2 linked regions of the Canis lupus familiaris genome follow. The protein of the gene in region 1 interacts with the protein of each later gene in a biochemical or structural test. Links are inferred from orthologs where the notes say so. Each region holds a gene or a part of one and is shown on either strand. Other genes may lie near its edges.

Region 1 (4,200 bases):
CTCATAAATACGTACCTACATGGGTTACCAAAGAAAACACATAGCAGTTTTGATTCACATTTTGAGAATTTAAATAATACAATATTCATAATTTAAAACAGGAATGAGTCTTTTTTTAACCGCAGAACATTGTTTAGGCAACTTTTCCTATTTGTTTTTTTCTTGAAAGCTTTGAGGGTGAAATGAAAAGATCTTTCCCCCCTCCACACTGAAACAGAGAATAGCTCCAGAAGAGACAGTGGCTGGGGGATTGAGCATGTGAAGGACTTTTCTCTGTAAACTTCCAGAAACTTTTTAAGTTTTCACCATATTCAGGTATTTTATTTTTCAGTCTTTCTCCTTTTATTCAAATGGAATTTTGCCATAGAATTCAATGTAATTAAATTATTTATTAAAGATCTTTATTAAAAAAAAAAAAAGATCTTTATTCATGAGACATCAGAAACAGAGACACAGGCAGAGGGAGAAGCAGGCTCCCTGCGGGGACCTCAACACAGGACTGGATCCCAGGACCCCGGGGTCACGCCCCGAGCCAAAGGCACTCAACCACTGAGTCACCCAGGTGCCCCAAATTTTGTATTTGGGATATTAAATTGTGTCCCCCCCCCCCCCGCCCACGAATGTACAGGCCTGGGATTGGACTTGTGTTTCTGAGACCCCAGGCCTAAGGAAGTTGTACGTCTGAGCTCCACTGAGTGTCCACCAGATGCCTCCGTGTGTGTATCTAGTACAAGGCGGCGTAGGTGGTACAGGAAGGCCAAAGGACATTCTAGAAAGTTCGGTGGACTTCCAGACGCCTCTCGAATAGGTGCGGGCAAAGCGTGCGGGGTTTCTGCGCCCCCTTCTAGCCTTCGGCCGTCCCGCACCCCCTGCTCCCCCGCTGCCCCAGCCCAGCCCGGGCCCACCTCCCGCCCCGCGCCGCGATCTGTCGAGTCATCCGTCCTGTCCGCGCCCGCGCGGGGGGATGGGCGGGCCGCAGGCCCCGGCGCGAGGACCCCTGCGGTCGCGGAGGGGCGAGGGACCACGACGCCCAACCCCTCTCCGCCCAGGGCGGGTCTCGAGAGCCGCGGGGACCGCTGCGGCCGAGGGGAAGGGGTGTCTGGGTCCCGCGGCAGGGGCAGCTCGCCCCGGACGCCCGGCGATTCCGCGCCGGGTTTTCCCGTCTCCCGCGGGCCCTGTTCTCCGCGCTCGCCCCCTCCCCCCTCCCCCCTCGCATCCGGCGCCGGCCACGTCCGCGGACGCAGCACTCAACGGGCGCGCTGATCCCTCCGCGCGGGCGCTCGGGACCGCGGCCCTCTCCTCGCCAGATTCAGCCCTACAGCCCAGCCTTGACAGGTCGACGTTTCCGGGGGCTCCTAGAAGATTCTGGGGCAGTGGTTTTCTCCCTGGAGGCCAGGAAGACGGTGAAAAGTAGTCCCTTCTCGGCGTTTCTGCGCAGGGATCCGCCGGAGCGGCGCGGCCGATTGTTATATAAGGAGGCGCCGGGCGTGGCGCAGGCAGTTCCGTGGAGGCCGGGAGGTCGGTTGTTCGTCTCCGTGCGCTTCTGTCACAGCCGCTTGGTGAGGAGCGGGCCGCTGCGCGGGCCTGGGGGTCTTGGGGCCCTGCAGGGGCGGGGGGCCGGGCAGCCGGCTGCCCGGGGAGTTGCCCGCGGCGCCGGAGCGCGGTTACTCTTGGGGGGGGGGGCGCAGCAAAATGGCGTCCGCTACGGCTCCTGTGCGGGGAGAAGCCGAGGTGCGAGGGGCCGTGAGGAGCCCGGGAGACGGGATGGCTGTGAGCGGGCGAGACGCGCCGAGCCAGTGGGGCCCTGACGGGGCCCTCTGCGCAGTGAGTGGGGGCGGGAAGCCCCTGTGTGCTCCGCGGCCCCGCTGGCGCCACGCTCCGTGTCCGGTCGCGGCGAGTGGGCCCGAAGTGCCGGAGCAGTCCTGCGCCCGTTTGGGGGGAGGGGGCCCGCTCGTCGCGTCGGTCATGTGATGTCATCGCTTTGTCAGCTAACAATCCGGGGTGGGGCCGCGTGTTCCTGTGTGTGGAGCCGGCTTGGGTCAGTCGCGGGGCACAAGGGTTAGGCGGGGCGGGGGAGGGGAGATCCTGCGGATTGTCCGGTCCAGACATCACTGAGGGGGGAGGGGAAGATACGGAAGCCGGCGCCTTCACTTGACCGGTATCCATGCTTTCTCTCCTCCTGGGGCCTGGAACTTGGTTTTGGAGCTTATTTGAGTTTCCAAAACCTGTCCTGTTTCTTCGCCTTAGGTTTTTTGGCGAGGTTTATTTTAGTTCTTGGGTTAGTGTAAAATGACCAGTAACTGTTAGCGTTCTATTCACATGTGAGTGGTCTGTTACACTCCGGATTGTTTTTTTTGTTTTTTTGGGTTTTTTTGTGACAGACAATGCAGATCTTCGTGAAGACTTTGACGGGTAAGACCATCACCCTGGAGGTGGAGCCCAGTGACACCATCGAGAACGTCAAGGCGAAGATCCAGGACAAGGAGGGCATCCCCCCTGACCAGCAGAGGTTGATCTTTGCTGGCAAACAGCTGGAAGATGGGCGCACCCTGTCCGACTACAACATCCAGAAGGAGTCCACTCTGCACCTGGTCCTTCGCCTCAGGGGGGGCATGCAGATCTTCGTGAAGACCTTGACGGGTAAGACCATCACCCTGGAGGTGGAGCCCAGTGACACCATCGAGAACGTCAAGGCGAAGATCCAGGACAAGGAGGGCATCCCCCCTGACCAGCAGAGGTTGATCTTTGCCGGCAAACAGCTGGAAGATGGGCGCACCCTGTCCGACTACAACATCCAGAAGGAGTCCACTCTGCACCTGGTCCTTCGCCTCAGGGGGGGCATGCAGATCTTCGTGAAGACCTTGACGGGTAAGACCATCACCCTGGAGGTGGAGCCCAGTGACACCATCGAGAACGTCAAGGCGAAGATCCAGGACAAGGAGGGCATCCCCCCTGACCAGCAGAGGTTGATCTTTGCCGGCAAACAGCTGGAAGATGGGCGCACCCTGTCCGACTACAACATCCAGAAGGAGTCCACTCTGCACCTGGTCCTTCGCCTCAGGGGGGGCATGCAGATCTTCGTGAAGACTTTGACGGGTAAGACCATCACCCTGGAGGTGGAGCCCAGTGACACCATCGAGAACGTCAAGGCGAAGATCCAGGACAAGGAGGGCATCCCCCCTGACCAGCAGAGGTTGATCTTTGCCGGCAAACAGCTGGAAGATGGGCGCACCCTGTCCGACTACAACATCCAGAAGGAGTCCACTCTGCACCTGGTCCTTCGCCTCAGGGGGGGCATGCAGATCTTCGTGAAGACCTTGACGGGTAAGACCATCACCCTGGAGGTGGAGCCCAGTGACACCATCGAGAACGTCAAGGCGAAGATCCAGGACAAGGAGGGCATCCCCCCTGACCAGCAGAGGTTGATCTTTGCTGGCAAACAGCTGGAAGATGGGCGCACCCTGTCCGACTACAACATCCAGAAGGAGTCCACTCTGCACCTGGTCCTTCGCCTCAGGGGGGGCATGCAGATCTTCGTGAAGACCTTGACGGGTAAGACCATCACCCTGGAGGTGGAGCCCAGTGACACCATCGAGAACGTCAAGGCGAAGATCCAGGACAAGGAGGGCATCCCCCCTGACCAGCAGAGGTTGATCTTTGCCGGCAAACAGCTGGAAGATGGGCGCACCCTGTCCGACTACAACATCCAGAAGGAGTCCACTCTGCACCTGGTCCTTCGCCTCAGGGGGGGCATGCAGATCTTCGTGAAGACTTTGACGGGTAAGACCATCACCCTGGAGGTGGAGCCCAGTGACACCATCGAGAACGTCAAGGCGAAGATCCAGGACAAGGAGGGCATCCCCCCTGACCAGCAGAGGTTGATCTTTGCCGGCAAACAGCTGGAAGATGGGCGCACCCTGTCCGACTACAACATCCAGAAGGAGTCCACTCTGCACCTGGTCCTTCGCCTCAGGGGGGGCATGCAGATCTTCGTGAAGACCTTGACGGGTAAGACCATCACCCTGGAGGTGGAGCCCAGTGACACCATCGAGAACGTCAAGGCGAAGATCCAGGACAAGGAGGGCATCCCCCCTGACCAGCAGAGGTTGATCTTTGCTGGCAAACAGCTGGAAGATGGGCGCACCCTGTCCGACTACAACATCCAGAAGGAGTCCACTCTGCACCTGGTCCTTCGCCTCA
Region 2 (3,934 bases), on another chromosome or scaffold:
TGTGCAAAACACAATGCTGCTCCCCTTCAGTACACGAGATCAATGCTTTTTTTTTTTTTAATTGATAATACTGTCAAGCTAAAGAGGCATTAACTTCTTCAAATAGCAAAATCCAATGAAATAATAAAAGAAATCTGCGAAGTCTACGTATACAACTCTCTTTCACAATCCAAACCCAAAACCCAATGGATTTGGTTAAATACTGATCCCAGGAACAAGAGATTCAGATAGTAAGGCAGTGGTGGCGTCATTCCATCCTTGCTGTCACCTGTCAGAGTACTGCACCTATGACAAGGTCCTCTCCAAGTAAAAAGATGAGCTGTTATTTCACACAAACATAAATGGCAAGAATACTAAACAGGTCTACTACCATCCCTCTATAACAATTCTGACAACACATTTTCAGGAAGTACATGTTGCTGATGTAAAACAGCCACTGTGCCAGGGTTCAAATTAATCATGGTGCTTTCTGCAAAGATAAGGAATGGTTTGTTGTGTGTATATTTGAACATTACAATTCAGCATACTGAATGTGCTTCACAGAATAAAACTAGTATGAAAGCTAGAGTCTAAGAGGAACAACCCTACATAATTCGTTTTTATAAAAAGTCCATTCCCAGGTTAATTTTAAAGAAATCCCTCCTCCTGTCAGCCATGGCACCTCCTTCTTGGCATATATCACATGGAAAGAGAGCCTCACCCCTGGAAGTCTCATGAAGATCCCAGCTTCACCCTCCAGGCCTGACGGCAGACAGAGCACCAACACAAGAGTGCCTACCTACCATCAGCTCAATGGTCTTGGTTAAGTGCCCCTCAGACAGAACAGGAGCTAACCAGGAGGTAGATAAAACAGGCATAAAGCCACATTCCTAAGAGGACAATATGAATGAAGAGCAATCTGAAAAGGTAGGTGAATGCTTAAATCATCATAATGACTTTCATTTTCAAAGTTTCTAATCACTTCATGTGAGTTGCCTATGGTCATAGTGTTGACAGCAGTCACGGCCAGAACCCAAATCAAGCCAAATCAAGCACAGTTTCATGTCTACCACAATGTTTCCAACAGTTTACGCATATATGTAGCCTACGCTTTTCACAGAAGCAACATGCCTCAAAGCATTCTTACCTGACTAGCGAGAGAGAGTATAAATGCCCAGTCTTCTTGCCACTGTTCTTCTCTCAAGGAAAAATGTAAACCAAAGCTCTGAGAATACCATGATTCCCAATCTTTCCAACGTGTATAAAACCTAAAAAAGCAAGATTGCAAAAGATAAGCCTTCTATAAATGTTCTAATCATTTATTTAATGGAGTCTGTCTTTAAGCAATTCCTGTAAAGAGAACAGCAATTTTATTAATCTTACCCAGTTTGCAATATACTTTCAAACTAAAAATGCCTAGCAGACATCATTTAACACATTCTCACACATAATTTAATTCACCACCCAACATGTTTTCACCAAAACTTTAAATATTAGTGATAAGAACAATCAATTTCAACTGTCTACTACTGGTTTAAAGGTTAAAAACCAAAAAGCAAACACTCAGAATCATCTGAGATGCTGGATATAAAGATGCTACATTTCTACATTACTATTTAGTATTCACTACTTGATCACTGTGTAAATAATAAACTAGAAATAGCCCATGTATTCACAACAGTATCAAAATCACTTCCAGGGCAAGGCCCTAAATCTTTCTGACTCTATGAAGGCTCAGAAAGATGAGGAAACCATCAAAGAGAAATCTGAAGGTAGCAGAGTTGGTTCATGAGGTTTAAAGGAAGAAGCCATCTCATCTCCAGACATCAAAGTGTAAGGTGAACTGACAAGTGATGTAGAAGCTACAGCAAATTCTCCAGAAGATCTAGCTAAAATAATGAATGTAGGTAACTACACTAAACAAATTTTCAATGTAGATGAAACAGCCTTCTATAGGAAGAAGATGCCTTCTGGGACTGACATAGCTAGAGAGAAGTCAGTACCTGCTTTCAAAGGACACGCTCTCTTGTTAAGGGGCTCATGCAGCTAGTGACTTTAAGGGCCATCCCAGGGCCCTTAATAATTATGCTAAATATACTCTATTTTAAAAAAAGCCTGAATGACAGTACATCCATTTACAGTATAATTTACTGAATATTTTAAACCCACTGTTGACACCTACCCCCCCAGATTTATTTAAAAAAAAAAAAAAACTCCTTTCAAATTATTACTGCTCACCGACAATGCACCTGGTCACCCAAGAGCTTTGATGGAGATGGACAATCAGATTGTTTTCATGCCTGCTGCTAACACAACATCCATTCTGCAGCCCATGATCAAGGAGTAATTTCGACTTTCATTATTCCAAGTAAGCCTCTAGCTGCCATTCCACAGATGGATCTGGGCAAAAGAAACTGAAAAACTTCTGGAAAGGATTCACCATTCTGGATGCAACTAAGAATGTTCCTGATCTAAGGAAAGAGGTCAAAATATTAACATTTACAGGCGTTTGGTAGAAGCAGATTACAACCCTCTGGATGACTTTGAGGGGTTCAAGACCTGAAAGAAGGAAGTAACTGCAGATGTGGTGGGAATAACAAGAGAACTAGAATGAGAAGTAGAACCTAGAGATGGGACTGAACTGCTGCAATCTCCAGACACAACTTGAACAGATGAGAACTTGCTTGTGATGGATGAGCAACGACAGTGGTTATTTATTTATTTATTTATTTATGTATTTATTTATTTTGCAAAGGAATCTAATCCTGGCAAAAATGCTATCAAGACTGTTGAAATCACAACAAAGGATTGAGAATATCACATAACTGAGCTGATAAAGCAGCAGCAGGGTTTGAAAGGACCAACTCCAATGCTGAAAGGAATACTGTGGATAAAATGCCATCAAACAGCATCACGCACTATAGGGAAATCATTCATGAGGAGTCTATCAATGGAGCAATCTTCGCTGTAATCTCACTTTAAGAAACTGCCACAGCCACCTCTACCTTCAGCCACCAGCATCCTGATCGGCCAGGAGCCATCAACCTTGAAGCAAGACCCTTCGCCAGCAAAAAGATCGGGACTCAATGAAAGTTCAGATGATGGCTGGGGTCTCTCAACAGAGACCTTAAAATTAAAACGTATAGTTTTTTTAAGACCTAATGGCTACTGCACACTTGACTACAGACTATAATATACTGGAAACATTAACTTTTATACGCACTGGGAAACCAAAATATTCCTTTACTTGATTAAAATATTCACTATTGCAGCCGTCTAGAACTAAATCCACCTATCTCCAAGGTATGCCTGTACATATTATACATCCAATCAGGTTACCATCTAGGCTTGCCAGCTAGGAAGCGTTTTAATTTTTTTCAGGTGACCTCAAATTTTTCCTCTTTTGTATTATGCTTTGATTTATAATTTAGCTATCAAAAAAGTGATCAAATTGCTCTCATTTTCAAATTCTAGAGAGTACTTTCATTCAGTAGTGTTTACGGTGTACTTACTAGGTCAGGCTACTGGAGGCACTACATCTTCCACAACGAAACACAACAAAATCTCTGTTCTCATGGAGTTTATGTTCTAATGGACTTCACATAATCCCTAAATACTCACAACAAAATTTACCTAGTAAATGCTCAGATATTACATAAGAGGTACTAGGGTAGTAACATCTTTTGGATTAAGGCCGTTATCATTACCGTGTTCAATTAGGTATGGGGGGGAGCATACTTTAATTAATTTAGCTTCTTTCACCCTCAATTTTTCTCACTTATGACAACTGAGACAATGTATATACAGAACCAAGAAAATACCATTAAGTCAAGACCAGTCATATACCTGGTTGGATGCTGGGTAAAAAATAAGACACAGGTTTCCGCTACTATCTGAAAGTTTGCTTCATGCCCCTTTGCTTTTATGAAAGACCTACATTAGTACCTGTTCTTGC

Evidence for each region.
Region 2: of the proteins of UBC (region 1) and ZRANB1, one has a biochemical effect on the other in vitro, tested with the Homo sapiens proteins (10 studies listed by BioGRID and IntAct, with this or other methods). The link is inferred for Canis lupus familiaris from reciprocal best matches to the Homo sapiens genes UBC and ZRANB1.

The regions. Positions count from the first base shown.
Region 1 is NC_049247.1:5,228,646-5,232,845, forward strand, and holds the start of UBC (polyubiquitin-C), read left to right. Parts: upstream 1-1,400; 5' UTR 1,401-1,559; intron 1,560-2,381; 5' UTR 2,382-2,384; coding exon 2,385-4,200.
Region 2 is NC_049249.1:34,608,376-34,612,309, reverse strand, and holds part of ZRANB1 (ubiquitin thioesterase ZRANB1), read right to left. Parts: intron 2,451-3,934; exon of another isoform or gene 2,218-2,450; intron 1,248-2,217; coding exon 1,127-1,247; intron 1-1,126. UniProt on the Homo sapiens protein: Ubiquitin thioesterase, which specifically hydrolyzes 'Lys-29'-linked and 'Lys-33'-linked diubiquitin. Also cleaves 'Lys-63'-linked chains, but with 40-fold less efficiency compared to 'Lys-29'-linked ones.